4 linked regions of the Caenorhabditis elegans genome follow. The protein of the gene in region 3 purifies or fractionates together with the protein of the main gene of each other region. This does not show direct contact. Each region holds a gene or a part of one and is shown on either strand. Other genes may lie near its edges.

Evidence for each region.
Region 1: the proteins of ndub-3 (region 3) and nuo-4 fractionate together in Caenorhabditis elegans (co-fractionation; one large-scale study listed by BioGRID). This does not show direct contact.
Region 2: the proteins of ndub-3 (region 3) and vdac-1 fractionate together in Caenorhabditis elegans (co-fractionation; one large-scale study listed by BioGRID). This does not show direct contact.
Region 4: the proteins of ndub-3 (region 3) and ndub-10 fractionate together in Caenorhabditis elegans (co-fractionation; one large-scale study listed by BioGRID). This does not show direct contact.

The regions. Positions count from the first base shown.
Region 1 is NC_003281.10:7,155,488-7,160,551, reverse strand, and holds nuo-4 (NADH dehydrogenase [ubiquinone] 1 alpha subcomplex subunit 10, mitochondrial), read left to right. Parts: upstream 1-1,742; 5' UTR 1,743-1,748; coding exon 1,749-2,120; intron 2,121-2,165; coding exon 2,166-2,394; intron 2,395-2,442; coding exon 2,443-2,567; intron 2,568-2,615; coding exon 2,616-2,759; intron 2,760-2,809; coding exon 2,810-2,916; intron 2,917-3,471; coding exon 3,472-3,693; intron 3,694-4,091; coding exon 4,092-4,203; 3' UTR 4,204-4,526; downstream 4,527-5,064. Other genes in the region: rnp-7 (U1 small nuclear ribonucleoprotein 70 kDa), read left to right, coding at 1-13, 808-1,141, 1,210-1,399.
Region 2 is NC_003282.8:7,505,921-7,509,646, reverse strand, and holds vdac-1 (putative voltage-dependent anion-selective channel), read left to right. Parts: upstream 1-1,755; 5' UTR 1,756-1,758; coding exon 1,759-1,822; intron 1,823-1,895; coding exon 1,896-2,036; intron 2,037-2,203; coding exon 2,204-2,373; intron 2,374-2,530; coding exon 2,531-2,788; intron 2,789-2,834; coding exon 2,835-3,053; 3' UTR 3,054-3,226; downstream 3,227-3,726. Other genes in the region: R05G6.5 (Uroporphyrinogen-III synthase), read right to left, coding at 172-210, 262-377, 429-508, 686-873, 921-1,064; Putative sodium-dependent excitatory amino acid transporter glt-6, read right to left, coding at 3,359-3,637, 3,682-3,726. UniProt on the Caenorhabditis elegans protein: Forms a channel through the cell membrane that allows diffusion of small hydrophilic molecules. Plays a role in maintaining mitochondrial morphology.
Region 3 is NC_003280.10:8,963,720-8,966,775, reverse strand, and holds ndub-3 (NADH dehydrogenase [ubiquinone] 1 beta subcomplex subunit 3), read left to right. Parts: upstream 1-1,885; 5' UTR 1,886-1,886; coding exon 1,887-2,017; intron 2,018-2,069; coding exon 2,070-2,136; intron 2,137-2,319; coding exon 2,320-2,433; 3' UTR 2,434-2,534; downstream 2,535-3,056. Other genes in the region: sec-62 (Translocation protein SEC62), read right to left, coding at 122-187, 237-559, 604-723, 808-1,059, 1,105-1,217, 1,269-1,344, 1,393-1,516, 1,582-1,602; sftd-3 (Vesicle transport protein), read left to right, coding at 2,633-2,748, 2,795-2,893.
Region 4 is NC_003279.8:10,517,695-10,521,315, forward strand, and holds ndub-10 (NADH dehydrogenase [ubiquinone] 1 beta subcomplex subunit 10), read left to right. Parts: upstream 1-1,665; 5' UTR 1,666-1,666; coding exon 1,667-1,823; intron 1,824-2,211; coding exon 2,212-2,774; intron 2,775-2,856; coding exon 2,857-2,919; 3' UTR 2,920-3,067; downstream 3,068-3,621. Other genes in the region: nlp-4 (Transthyretin-like family protein), read right to left, coding at 14-158, 206-208; exos-3 (Exosome complex component RRP40), read left to right, coding at 687-850, 902-1,178, 1,228-1,467; UPF0598 protein F59C6.12, read left to right, coding at 3,177-3,235, 3,282-3,364, 3,407-3,468.

The sequences.
Region 1 (5,064 bases), on a different chromosome or scaffold from region 3:
GCTGAGATGCATAGTGGGTTGCAGTTTGTTTGTCATAAAACAAAAAATCATTGGCTGAACCTTTTGCTCAAAAAAACAACAGAAATTTTATTTTAAAAACCAATTTTCAAGGAACACGCTCCTATTTTTGTAATTTTTACAGCCACGCGGCCATTGTGAAATCCTGGGAAATGAATGGGAATGGCAGAGCGCGCAACTCTCCTATCGATTAATTTCTGATAGGTTTGTTTGTTGGTGAGCTCAAATAAAAAACAAGAAATTAAAAAAAAAAGGAATTAGCATTTTAAGAAACGAGTCTTTCCAAGAAAAAAAACATTATTTAAAATTGCACGCTTGCTAAAAAGGTTTTAGGCATATTATCGCATTTAAAAACTTTATTAATTTGTTAAGCTGAAAATTTCTGATATAAACTCTTTTTTTAGTACTAGGTCTTTGAATTTCATTTAGGCTACTAGATTAGGAAAAAATCCAAGAATTCAGATTTATTTTTTTATTTTTTGAATGGGTAAGGTACACGCTTTGTAAGTTTTCCTCACAAACATCAAAAAAATCATCTTGGGATTATTTTTGTAAGTTTCTTGCCGCTTTTTGTAAGTTTTCCCGTAAGTTTTGTCTGTAAGTTTGAAGTCTAACACATTTTCTGAATCGCGGGTAAGTGGTTGGGTAAGTAGTCAATTCCGCGAATGACATGGAGGCCTGTGAGCGCTTTTTTGGTAGGTTAGGTAAGATATTTATTGAGTAGACACACAAATCCGTATTCTCTCACCTTATTCCTTATTGAACATAATATTCGAGTATTATTTTCAGCCGCTTACAAAAAAGCTGACGGAATCAAAGTTGATGGTAAACGTCTAGTTGTCGACTATGAAAGAGGTCGTACTCAGAAGACATGGTTGCCTAGAAGACTTGGCGGTGGAAAAGGAGATACTCGTAAAACTCGCGAAGCTAAATCAGTCATTGAAGAACGTGAAATTGCGTCTGGATTTGGAGGTGGGTACGAGGATCGAGATAGAGAAAGAAGTGGTAGTCGGGATAGACGTCAAGATTCTTACCGTAATGGTGGAGGAAATGATCGTGATCGACGAGAATCATCGGGCGGATTTAGAGATAATCGCGGTGGAGGTGGCGGATTCGGTGGAGGGTTAGTTTTTATAAGATTTCGACATCTTATTTGTATTTTTCTTCACTTGTTTTAATTAATATTTTCAGAGGCCGTGATCGTTTCAATGATCGAAGTGGTGGTGGTGGATACGGAGGTGATCGTGATAGAGGAGGTGATAGAGGAGGTGACCGTGGAGGAAGCCGATACAGTACAGGTGGAGGATCCGGTGGTGGATATCGAAGCGGTGGTGGAAGTAGCGGAGGTGGTGGTGGAGGTCGATATGGTGATCGCCGTTGATTCTGAAACCAAAGGCCTTGTGGATTTTCCTCGCTTTTATGTTTGTTTTGTATCCTTCGATCTGAAATTTACCGATTTTTCCTTCTGCTTTCTATCTCGTCCTCTCAAATCATTTTGTATTCCTAAACACTTTTTCAAACCTGAACGGTATCTTCTAATTTATATTTTTAAGTTATTGACTTTTTTCTGCTCAGAAGTTCAACTATTCGAGGGCAGATTCTAATAAAGCTTCAATTGCAATATTTTCTGTAGAATAATTTATTTCTAATGGTTTTCAAACCTATTCTAATATTTTATTTTGTTCATTTTCCAATTTAATCTTATTATCTTGTTCCTTGTTAAGACCATCATGCCGGGTTCCATGAGCAAATTGGGAGGGCTGGCAACCGGTTTGCTGGCCTGCTCCAGATCAGGAGCACTCTCAAATCAAGTCAGAGGAGTTGTTCATAAAAGTCTTCTAAGACTTCCATCTGAACATCCAGAACCATGGGACTATAAGCACAATGGATTCAATTATATTGATGGATTAAAAGACGACACTCGTTCTCATTTCCATCAAAATTCCAAGCTTATCGTTGTTGAAGGAAATATTGGATCCGGAAAGACAACTTTAGCCAAACAACTTGCTGATCAACTCGGCTTCGTTCATTTCCCAGAATTTAGAATGGACGATATTCTCGTCGATCGCTACGGAAATGATCTTCGCAATTATTATAATAAAGTAAATAATAATTCAACCTAACTCTTAAATGTAATATTATTCCAGTTCCCAGCTCGTTACCGTCTTCCAGACATTTCCATGTTCTATAAGAATCCAAGTGGTGAACTCTCAGCTGCCATGCAAGATCGCATTTTCAACTGCCGTTTCGATCAATATCTCAACGCACTTGCTCATATTCTCAATACCGGTCAAGGAGTTGTGCTCGAACGTACTCCACATTCGGATTTCGTTTTTGCCAATGCAATGAGAGATAAGAATTATATTGGACATGAATGTACGTTTATTGTATTCATGAATTTTCTTTCAAAATAATTGTTTCTAGACTTCAAGCATTATTACTTTGTCCGTAAAAATGCTCTTCCTCAACTACATTTCTGGCCTCATTTGGTTGTTTATTTGAATACACCAACCAATAAATGCCTTGAAAATATCAAGAGACGAGGAAACGTAAGCTAGATTTCTCATAAAGATATTCAAAATTTTATTAATTTTCAGACAGACGAAATTGCAACAGTTGACGAGCGTTACTTAAAAACAATTGAGGAGTCTTACAAGGATTCACTTCGTGAATACCGTAATCACTCGAAGATTCTTGCCTATGACTGGACAAAACCAGGAGACACGGATGCTGTTGTTGAGGTAAGGAAAAGTTCGAAATTCTTAAAAGAAAAAAAACATAATTTTTAAAGGATATCGAACGACTTGACTTGGACTTCTTTGAATGGCACAGTGGTGATGTTATGGAAGAGTGGAATACAATTGTTGATTCAGTTGGATGGAATGGATGGAGACAATAGTGAGTTTTTTTTTTGAGAAATATATTCGAGATCATACATTTTCATTGATAAAACGAAACGATTAATTTATTGAAAATACCAACAAAAAAGCCATCAAAATTTTTAGGAAATTTAACATTCTAGGAATTGAAACTGGCCAAAACTTGTTTTTTTTTTATTTTTAAATTTTGCAAACATGGACAGAAAATGATTTCTGCGAAATTGTGTCCCCATCAAGGCAAAAGATTTTTGGTTTTTTTTGTGTTTTTAGCAAAAAAAATGTATTTCGCTTTATTCAAAAAAAAGAGCAAAAAAACACAATTTTTAATTTTGATATACTGAAAGACATAAATTAAAAACAAACAAGTATGTGTTTTTCAGTCAGCGACAGGGTAACAGAATTTTTCGGTTTTTTTTTTGAAAAAAAAATGCAAAAAATGGATTTTTGTAAAAACCACGAAAAAAACGATTTACGAATATCGTAAAAATCTACAGCCCTGATATAACATTGAGAAAGTATTTTAATTGAATTTTAAAAGTTTCATCCACATTGTATAATATATAATATCTTCTAGTGTCACCAATAAATACGATGCCCGTATGCTTGCATTCGATGGAATTCCAAAACACGAAGTTGGAGAGCTGTACACAAATCCACGTGATACTGGACACTTCCTTCACGTAATGCGTAAAGAGGTTCTCAAGTCACCATATGGCTATGGATATATTGCCAAGAATGGTGATCATCAAGCAGGACTCAATGCATGGCACACTGGACACCATCTTCCAGAACCATGGTAAGTTGTTTTCAATATTTGAAATTTAACTTGAAGGTGGAGTAGAGTCAATTTGAAAATTTGCTTTAAGTAATAGAAAATGAACCGAAAATACCGAAAACAAAAAAATTATAAATTTTTTCAATTTTCAAAAATGTTAAAAATTATTTTTGAATTACCACATAAATGAATCATGAATATATGATATTCGGACATTACGGTCTATTTTCTACCATTTGAAGCAAAAATTCGAATAGTCTCCACCTTTGAATTCTTATTTATGTTATTTGCATTTTAAAAAGTTCAAAAGCAACAGCATAAGATTTTTTTTAAAGCTGTACTTTTTAAAAATCCGTATAGCTAAACTTTCAATTTTATAAAAAATTCTTTTTTCGAATTAACATTTTTCTATTGTTCAGGTATGAATACTACTTCCGAGAGGCATACTATGATGATTTGACATCTCACGAGACATCGCTGGATTTGGATTCGGATTCATACGATCCGGATTATGTGCACCATCATCACTAAATCCATCTCTTATTCTCATCGCTCCAAGCTGTTTTTTTTCAGTAGATTTCGTAGATTTTTGTCGTCGTCGTCTTCGATTTTCTGTTTTCGATTTGATTCTTCAATCACAAATCGGTTCGCCTTTTATTATGTGTTAATTCTTTTTTGTATTCATATTTTTATTTTATAGTAAGTAGAGGAAGAATCGATCCGAGAGAAAATTTAATGCGAAAATAAAGGGTTTTTATATTTTTATTGTTTACTTGTATTTTTGTTCTTGGTTTTCTGAACTTTCCTTATTTACTTTTCACCTTTTTGAATGATAAATTACTAGAAATTTGGAATTCAAAAGCTTTTTCGATTCCTTGACTTGGCATAGAGCCAGCACACACCTCATAGAATACACCGGAACCCTGGAGACGCAGAGAAACGGCTAGAGACAATAAAAAGCAAAGAGTGTCCGGAGAAGTTTCTCTGTGCCTCGCGTGGGGTTCTTTTCAGTTTCTCTAGTGATATCTCGATTCACAATACTATCTCACTTTCACAAGACCAACGGGGATACCCCGTGGTCGACAAAGTGGGGGGAGTTGAGAGTGAAGAGACGCAGAAAAGATAGACAAACTGGAAGAAGATGAAGAAAAAGGACGATGTAGAAAAGAGGACTTGCTCTTTTTCAAGAGAAAAAGGACAGCTTCTCTATTCTCTCTATTACCCCACGCACACTTTTCAAATTATGCGTACTTTGGGTTTTATTCATATTATATTGCCACGTTTGGGTTTTACCGTACTACTGAAAATTTATTTTAATCTTTAGAGTCTCTCTAGTGCCGCGAGTGACTCGTGTCGAAAATGACGTCACTGCTGTGTGTGCTCTGTGTTTGT
Region 2 (3,726 bases), on a different chromosome or scaffold from region 3:
CAAAGCCGTTTTTATCACTACCTGTGTGTTATCTGATTACATGTAATATATGTTCTACTGCCCTTTCTTTCGCATAGTTTTGTAGTTAATTTTTAATGCATATTTTTAAAAAATTTATTGTTTTATTGGTTTATGGGTATTTACACTATATTATTTTTTAGAAACATAAACTTATTGGCGTAGTTGGTGTAGATAATCTGCGAGCCATTTCTGAAAGAGTCAAAAAAATCATGTTACTAAATGGTGTATTCGAAAACAAACAATTGGATTATCCGGTCTCTCAACTGCTACGCGAGCCAGTCCCTGGCTCAGTTTCGGCCATACTTCTACTGAGAGATAATCCTTGGCATGTTTCAGCATTGCTCTTTCGTCAATGTCTGAATATATTTTTATGGGAGAGTCAAAATTCTAACTTTATGGAATCTTACACTTGGGGAAAAAGAAAATTATATCGTGATAGGCGGCAATTGTCGTTTTTGAATAATATATTCCATCACTTGAACTCATTCTGAATTAAACGCTTGTGAAGTTTTAAAACTCTTCGGATAGATTTTTTGAAAAACCTCCAAAAGTGTGAAGGTTTCGTACCGAAACGAGACTACGGTAACGGTTATTTTCAACTGTGCGCAATGTTTTTCTTCCATTGTTTTTCAGTATTTTCGGATGTTTGTTGGTCTTTGCTCACCTCTTAGCGATCACATTGTGATATTTGGCCACTTCTTTCATCTCAATAAAAGCATTCGCTCGTTGACACAATAGTAACATGCATGGTCCGTCTATTAGCCTGTCTGATAAGTTCCAGATATCTTGGGATTCAAGATCAGCACTTTTCCACTCCATGACTTCTTCAGTTTTAAAATGCTTCACAGTTTTCTAAATAATCAGTTTCTTCTTCTTTAATTTTCATATATACAACTTACCTCTATAATCCCGAAGTTTTCTTTTGTTATGTGCTTCAGTACGGATTCATATTCATAGAAATAGTTCGGCAGAATAATTACAATTATTCTATCGACTAGGTTTGGATTTTCCAGTTGTGGCTTAGAGACTTCCGAGCGGTACATTTCGAATAGGTTAGATGCAAGTGACAGAAGTGAACTGAATTCGCTGAACCAGGTGATGCGGAAACTATTTGGATTTGTGCTCAATTTCCGGTACCATTTCCTGGTTTAACGCTAAATTTGAGATTTCTTGCTAATTTCATTTTGTTTCGTTAGTCAATATTTCTTTCATTGCATCAAATCTTTTCTTCTCAGTGCATCATTCAATTTTGAAAAACTGCCAAAATAATCCAGTACTTTTGGAAGCGGAGCGGTCGCGCTGCAGTAACCAGTCTCTGTGCCTCTCATTTTCGTCCTATGTCTCGAGACGGGCGGTCGCCGCGCCAATGTGCTTGCCTTTGAACTCTCAATTTGCTGTTGTGGCGTGATCTGTCCTTTCTCTATCGCATTCAATGTTTTCGATACCGTCGGAGTTTTATGTTACAAATGTTTGCTTCTGAATTTCCCGATAAGATAATTGTAAATCATTTAACTGAAACCCTGAATATATTTTTTGGCGATGTTGTGTTTTCTGGCGCATTGTTTATCGACTTCCTACTGCTGCCATTGAGTTGGTTTATCTCTTTCTTTCCGTTTTTCTCGTATGCACTGCTCAATGCAAACATTTTCAAAGCCTTCATTTTTCGAAAATTTCCTATTTTCCTTCTCTCGTGTAACTCTAGAATGCATGTTTCAAAAAATATTTTGTGTTTAGAAAATGGCCCCACCAACCTTCGCTGATCTTGGAAAGTCCGCCAAGGACCTCTTCAACAAAGGATACAGTAAGTTTCAATTTTATCTTTGTAGAGAGGAATAGTGTTAGGTCATTTATTCGCCTGATTAATTTTTTTCCAGACTTTGGATTCCTCAAGATCGACTCCACCACTAGAGCTGGAGACAACAAGGAGGTTGAGTTCAAATCAGCCGCTTCTCACAATATCGGATCCGGAAAGCTTGGAGGAAATCTCGATGTCAAGTACAAGATCCCACAATACGGTAAGCTCGTCTGAACATCTTATTGTCTACCCGCTAGATGGGGACAACCTCGTGACGCAGGTGATGCAATTGTATGTACTCTAAAACACCACGTGACGTCTAGCGACCGCTCAACAAAAATACAACATATTGTGTGAGAGATATCAATCATGTTGTTTCGTTTTCAGGAATCACTTTGACCGAGAAATGGAACACCGAGAACCAGCTCGGAACTGTTATCGAAGTTAATGAGCAATTCGGACGTGGACTCAAGGTCACTCTCGATTCTCTTTATGCCCCACACGCCGGAAAGAGAAGCGGAAAAGTGAAGCTCGACTGGGCTCTCCCAACTGCTAGAGTGAGTAGTCTTGTACATATTTTGGGTGATAAGATTGGCGAAGCTCGTCTCAAGCTTGACTGGAAGCATGATTGTTTCAGGGTTCGATTTTCTGAATGTAGAAATAGAGATTTCAAAAATCCATCTTTGTGAAATGAAACAAATTAGCCATTTACAGGTTACCGCTGATGTTGGAGTCACCTCTGCTCCAGTTATCAACGCTGCCGGAGTCTTCTCCCGTGACGGATGGCTCATCGGAGCTGCCGCCACCTTCGATTCTTCATCGAATAAGTTGGCAGCCACTTCTTTGGCTTTCGGACACTCCACTCCACAATACACCCTCCACTCTTTCGTTATTAACTCAACCGACTTCGGAGCTTCCCTTTACCACAAGGTTGCCTCCAACGTCGAGGTTGGAACTCAACTCGGATGGAAGGTAAACTTTTTAAAATCCTAGAACCAAAACTAAAGTGAATTTTCAGGTTGGTGGAAACGGAGCTGACTACGCTCTCGCCACCAAGTATGCTCCAAGCCGTGACCTTACTGTCCGCGCCAAGGTCAACAGCTCTTCCCAAGTTGCCGTTGCTGCCACACACTCCTTGTCTCCAGCTCTTAAGCTGACACTTTCCACTCAATTCAACCTTGCTGCCAATGATGCTCACAAGTTCGGACTTGGACTCGAATTCGATCCATCCAACTAGATCTTCCGATCACTTCCATTCTCCCATCAATAGCGTTCTTAAAATTCTTTTAGTCCTCAACCGTTGATTTTTCAATGTCGATTTATGTTCTCTAAACTTCGAAAAAAAAGAAATGTCATGCGCTATTTACTTTTCTGCTAAATTTTACAAACATAAATTATTGAGTTTCATCAGTGGCTTAAAATAGTAAAAATGATATGTACAAAACAATCCATGGGTTCTCGCGGAAAGAGGAGAGAATAACCGTTTTCTGTTTTGGAATGGAAAAGTGACATGGACAAAAAATGTAAATATTGATCATGGAACTACACGTTTTCATCGTTGGGCAGAGGTGTGTATGGTGGTTCAATGTTATTATTACGCCAGGAAAGATGCAAGTTGGTGGATGAAGGACGACGAGAGCCAATTCGTGATCCAATTCTTGAGTTTCCAGCTGTGTTCGCGTGTGTCAAGAAGAGCTCCTTAGAAGCTTCTGACATTGTGAATGATGGTCTTCTACTGGTGGCAGCTGACTTCAATAGTTCAATTTCTCCTTTCAGTTCAGTCTTATAATCGTGACGAGCGTCTGCTTGATCCAGCTTTTTCTTAAAATATACAATTGTCTCCAAGTTCGAGTTTTCTATCAAACCTGCAATAAATGCTGAACCATTGAAGCAGCAAACGCATCCCCTAG
Region 3 (3,056 bases):
GAAAAATAGTATTTAAAATGTGACGAAACCGACAGGATGAGGGTAATGCAATAGATTTTCAGGACAAGTTTTCATAAATGCAGAAATGTGGAATGGAAAAATTTCAGGATAAACTAAATTTCTAGACTTTAGCTGGACGACGTTTTCGAGGAGCATCGTCACTTGGTGATGGTGGAGCAGAGATTTCCTAAATTTCAAAATTATAATTATTTAAATTGAAACACTTATCAGATTACCTCGTCTTCAATTTTTTCATAATTATCATCAGTTGATGCCTGACTATTTTTTTCAGCATCATCGTCTTCTTCCTCTTTTTGCTCCTGTTCAGCAGCAATGTGGTCTTGCTCCTCCTCTTCTGCATCAGAATCCTTTTCTTTTTTCGACTTTTTATCTTTCTTATCTTTCTTAGCTTCTTTCTTCTCATCACCAACATACTCATAAGTATACCATGGTTGGAATGATTCAAGAACTCCACAGTCTTCAGTCAAGTTCGGCAGAACCCAGAGTTTGTGTTTTCCGAAAGTAACAGCGTAGATAATTCCGAAAAGAATAGTACGGACTGAAAATAATCGAAAAATGAATATTATTGTTGAAACAACTCACGTATAGCAGTGACAATGATAGCTGCAAAACATCCAATTCCAGTAATTGATACGTAATAAACTCCTTGGCGAAGCCATACAGGCCATAGAGGGAACAAGCATCCGACAATTGTACCGACGACTGAAATATATTAATTGGATTTTAATTTTACACATTGAATCATTTCTAAAGCAGGAAATAACAAATCAAAAAGGGAAAACTTACGCATAAGTACTCCAATAATCTTTTTCATGAGAGGAGTTGGATCGAATACCCAAACGTAGACATCTTTGTCATCGACGAATGCTTGAACTTCATGTACAAGAAGCTTCACCTTCTTTTTCTTTTTTTCTTCGTCTTTCTTTTCGTCTTTTTTCACTTCTTTCTCATCACCTTCAGCTTCGGTTGCTGTTTCTTCTTCTTTGGCTTTTTTATTTCTCTTTTCAACTACACCTTTTGGAGATTTGGTAACTTCAGCTGAAAAAAACGTGTTTTAAGATATTTTTTAAGTTTTATGATTACCAGAAGAATCGTTTCCTTTATCTTTATTCTCTTTTTTCTTTGCTACTAATTTTTTTGCACGGAAGAATAATTGTTTCGAGTTGAGTTCGCAAATATAATGGAAGCAATCATCTCTGAAAATTTAGAATCTATTTAAATTTACGTAATTTCTACAGAATGCCCACCTTGTTTTAAACATTGCATCTTTCTTTGCTTTATTTCCGTACTTGGATTCCCAAAGAGTATCGACAGCTTTATTTCCTGAAAATATATGCGATATTAATATAAACAATTGAAATTTGTACATACCACTGAAATAATGAACTTCGTTTCCTTCAAACATGGTCGTGGCTGTCGGACAATTGAATCTGATGTATTTGGCAATGTCTTCTTGCTCCTTCGTCATTTTTACGGCATCTTCCGTAGATACGCCCTGAAATTTGAATTAAAACATCGTTCTTTTCTAGTTAATATTGATTTTTCCGAATAAAAACTCACTTTTTGATTACGTTTCGACATGGTTAAAGTTTTCCTTTATTAAAAAAGCAGAAAAAATGTTGAGAATCTGAAAATACAGCCAAAACAAAAGTGGTGCGTTGGAACAAGCCAAAATCTCCTGACAATTGATTGAGAAAAGTGTGCCGCAGTTGCGCTCTGACGGAAAACGCAACTGCCGCACGCTTACACACCGCGTAAATCTACACAAACTCGGCTGGCATTTCTTTCTGATTTTATCGTTCTCTTCATTTATTTTCATAATACAGGTTTCTAAAACATTTTTTTTCAATTATTTTAATTCCAGAATGGGTGGAGGACATCACGAGCCGTTTAAGATCCCAAACTACTCAATCTACAGCAATTTTCGCGATTTTCCACAGTTGGCGCAGCATGAAAAACGACTCGCTCAAATCGGATTGAAGGATCCATGGATCAGGTCGGTTTTTTATCGATAATATTAATAAATATATTATTGATTTTTCTTTCAGAAACTACGTCTACTTGTACGATCGAAAGTATCCACACGTTGTTGGACAATGGGCTCATTTCAAGAAGGTTCGTGTTTTCTTCGAGATGAATTAAATATTATTAATATAATACCAACATAATATTAAAAAATTTTTATGGATTGTATCCTATAAATGTGCTCTTGTTTGGAAAATTTCCGAGCAAGCCGATTTTCCAAAAATTATATTAATGTATTTAGGGAATTTTTTAAAATTATTTAATAAATTTCAGTTGATTCTTCCTGGATGGAAAGCTGGAGTTGCATTCACAGCTGCCTTGATTTTCGTTGAAGAAGCTTACCAATACAAGACTCACGGAACCACCTCATGGGATGGTCATCATTAGAATTATCTGTTTCAAATCTCGAGCCGATTTCTTTTTTTTTAGTTTAAAAGTTTTCTTTTTGTGTATGTAGTTTCTTAAACTCCAATAAATCATTCATTTTTAAAATCGCAATTCACCCTCGTTGAAAATTGGTATTCTGCCAGAAAGGTTTCTATGATAACGATGTCAATAAATGTTTTACAACAACAATTTAAAGGGCATGTCTGCTCTAGAGCAGTTCATAAATGATCAGAAGAAGAAAGGAAGTGGTATCAGCAGTTCAGCTTCATTTTCTTCATTTGATTCACTTCGCAACAAGCTTCCAACGTCTATTGGGTAACAAATTTCACTTAGAAGAAATGTATAAAGTTTGAAGTTTCAGAGGATTTTCCCTACTTTCCCGAAGCGAAACAACCGATAGTCAGCAGTTATTAGTTGGAGATGATTCTGGAGATGGACAATTGCCAGCTTCCAGAAATCGGTATGTTTTGTTCAGAAAAACAAAAAAAAATAAACTGAAAATCTTGATTTCTTTGAATTAAATACTCCTAAGTAGGCAAATATCAATTAAATATTATATATTTCAATTTTTAACTGATGAGAAACGGATAAAATTGTTTTCGTTTTAATAGACTCAAAATGGT
Region 4 (3,621 bases), on a different chromosome or scaffold from region 3:
CAAACTCTCTTACACATTTGTGCTTCAGAAAAAATGTCCATTGGCATGTTGGCAGCAGGGACATCATCACACACAAGTTGTCCTTTGATATGCACGGAAAAATCTGTCTGCTTCACGGCCAGACACGTGGCAATAATACCGGAAAGAACAACAACTAGCTGAATGGGAAAACTTTAACTTCAAAAAACCTAACTATATTACATACCATTTACAAACCAGTTTGACCACTAAAAACTCAGTTGAACTGTATTTGAAACTAAATTTTTCTCGGTGTACGTGTCGATATTTATTTTAAAAAATTGCCACGCATTTATGTTTTCAGTGTTATTTTTCTTTTAGTCCTTGACAATTAATATTAATTGCAATTTCCAACATATCAAATAAAAATCAATGGGTACGGTATACAACACCGCAAACACCGTCACGTCAAGTCGCAGACTTTCAACAGCCGCTCCATTTTTATTTCTTATTTTTCTAGTTTTTCCGTTTATTTTGCGAAATATTATCACTTTTTGATTAATTTTATTGCAAAAATTTACAATTTTCAGTTAATATACTCATTGAAAACACTTTATTAACGTAGCTTATTACGTTATTCCTCCTGCGGTATTTAAATTTGGTTTTTCTATTCGCCACTACTTTTTAAAACGTTATTTTGTTCATCATTGAGTATTCAATTTTCAGAAATGACCGTATATCTCCCTGGCGACGTTATCAATGAACCTTCTTCAAGCGATTCCTCAATCATTGGCTACGGAATTAGTGTACGTGGCCAAACGAGAATTGCCACTCAACCTGGAGCTTTCCACAACGATGATGGAAAAGTCTGGTTAAATGTTCACAGCAAAAGGTAAGAATGATCACGAACAACATTTAAAATCACAATTTTTCTTAAATTCAGATATATACCACAGGAAGGAGACCGAGTAATCGCTATTGTCACTTCAAAAACTGGTGATTTCTTTCGTTTGGACATAGGAACTGCCGAATACGCCATGATCAACTTTACTAACTTCGAAGGTGCTACTAAAAGGAATAGGCCGAATCTAAAAACTGGAGATATTATTTATGCAACAGTTTTCGACACAACTCCAAGAACTGAAGCAGAGCTTACCTGTGTGGATGACGAGAAACGAGCACGTGGAATGGGACAGCTAAATGGAGGATTCATGTTCAAAGTTAGACACGAAATTTACTATTTATTGTAAAATTTAAAAATTATTATAGGTCTCCTTGAATCATTGTCGTCGACTAATCAACCCATCTTGCAAAATTCTTCAAACTGTTGGCAAGTTCTTCAAATTCGAAATCACTGTTGGAATGAACGGAAGAATCTGGATTAGTGCTTCGACTTCTGATGATATTATCAAGATTCACGATATTATCAATAAATCAGAGTTTATCACTGACGAAGATGAGCTTATCACCCTGGTTCAGAATAATTACACACGATCTGTCAGTGATTAAGAATCTTTATCTCAATTTTTAATTTTTCAGTGTAATTCCTGCTATTGTTGATTTTTTTTTCCTTTTGTTGTTGAACTTTTTAAAAATTTAATTTATCGTCTTGTTCTATGTAATATTTCAATTTTCAACGTTTCTTCGTTGTTTTAATATTTATTACTCAATATTCTCAATTCACAATGGAAAATTTTCGACATTCAGTATGGGTGAAGGCTTAGTGGAGCAACGTCAAGCTGACGATAAAGCATCTTGGGATGCTTACTGGAAAGTTCGTGATATCGATTCACGAGGATCCATCTACCCACGATTCCGTTATTATGCCCATAAGGCTTTCGACGCCCCAGCAACTTGGTTCAGAGGTAATTTTTAAAATTCTCAAGTTGGAGAATCATTTAAAGAAGAAGCAGCTTTGAAATTAGATTTAAAACCATTTACAAAATGTAAGAATTGACAGAAAACAAATTTCGTTCAAGTTTATTTACTTTCACCATTTGTTTTAATTCCAAGTAATTGATACTGTCTACGGTTTTATCCAGATTCAAAAAATTTGGGAACTTGTGGTGCAAGTAAAGGTTAATTTCTAATTCCCATATCATTGCTGTAAATTATAATTTTAAACTAGAAAAAAACCAAAGTTATTCGACTACCTCAAGCTGATGTACAGTTAGTAGTTGCAGTTCCACATAATAAATCAACTAGGCAAAACAATCCATTTTAATCTATTCTACTAACTCGTCAGCTTTTCAGAGACTATTGTGCAACCACTCAACAACAAGAACCGTCTACCCTACTATCACCGTCAACTTACACGTGTTCCGGAAATCGACGAATGCGGAGTGAACGACAAGGCCTGCTTCTACGAAGCCAATGAGCAGTACCGTCTTGATAAAATGGTCGATGGATTTATTCTGCAAACCCTCCGCCAACGTGTTGATCGGTGTATGCTTTACAACAATCCTGATCATTCACCATGTGCCAAGGTTATTGAGGATATGGAAGAGAATGAGTTGAATTTCTTCATGAAATACGGAGAGTTGGGAGGAGAATCCGATGTTCGTGATGCTTATATGAAGCAGAAGCATCGAATGATCTGGGAACGACGTCATCCAGAGATTATGGATGAGCGTGCAGCTAAGCTTGCTGATCATAAAGCACGACTTGCTAATGGAGAGTTTGACTATTCATTCTGGAAGAAGGGAATGTTCTATCAAGACAAGAAGAACTATGAGCCACCATATGAGTTCCAAATGAGCAAGTCAGCACTCGAGGGTGACAAGCCATTGTCCAAGGATTGGGAATACTACAAGAAGGTAAATATTCTTTCAAGATTTAATTTTAAAAAAGAAGCTACGAGAGAATCCTGGATCGAAAATTAAAATTTTATATTTTCAGGTCTCACAAGACCCAGAATTCGACAAGGATCAAGGAAAGAAGTCCGACTTCCGTCTCTTCTAATTCTACGCTGTCAATCTTTTCTTTTTCAATGAAATTTTTTAGAACGAATTGTGTTGAGTTTTCTTATTCCGTCGTAACAACTTTTTTTTCTTTTTCATGTTGCGTTCTTTTATTCCATTCAGAAAGTGAATAAATGTAGATTGTTTGATTGATTTATAAAGATTTGAATATGAATTTATGAGAAACGGAAATATTACCAGTCAGCTTTTCTTTTCAAATTAATTTAAATCAAAATTTAACTTTTTTAAGTTTCGGAAATGATACTGACATTTGCACGAAGTCTCTACACACAGGGGCAGTATAACGGAAAAATAAGGTTTTATTTTTAAATTAATTGTTTCTTTTTGAATTTGAGTTTTCAGAGAATATTTTTACTATGTGAGCCACAATGGTTTCCTATTTCTGGACGATTCGAGAATGAAGAATTTTACAGCGGCTTATAAAGGTTTATTTTACAGGAAAAACTGTTAACAAATCGAAATTTCAGATATTCAGTTTCTTAATTTCTTCTACAGAAAGATCAAGGAAAACAAGACGGGAAGATATGAGGTAAAACGCGAAATTTGCGATTTATCAACAAAAATACGGTAGCCGGTCTCGACACGACAATTTTTGTTGAATGAGAAAAGGTGTGCGCTTTTAAAGAGTACTGTAATTAAAAACTGTGATTTCTGCCGGATTTTTTTATTGATGTTTCCAATT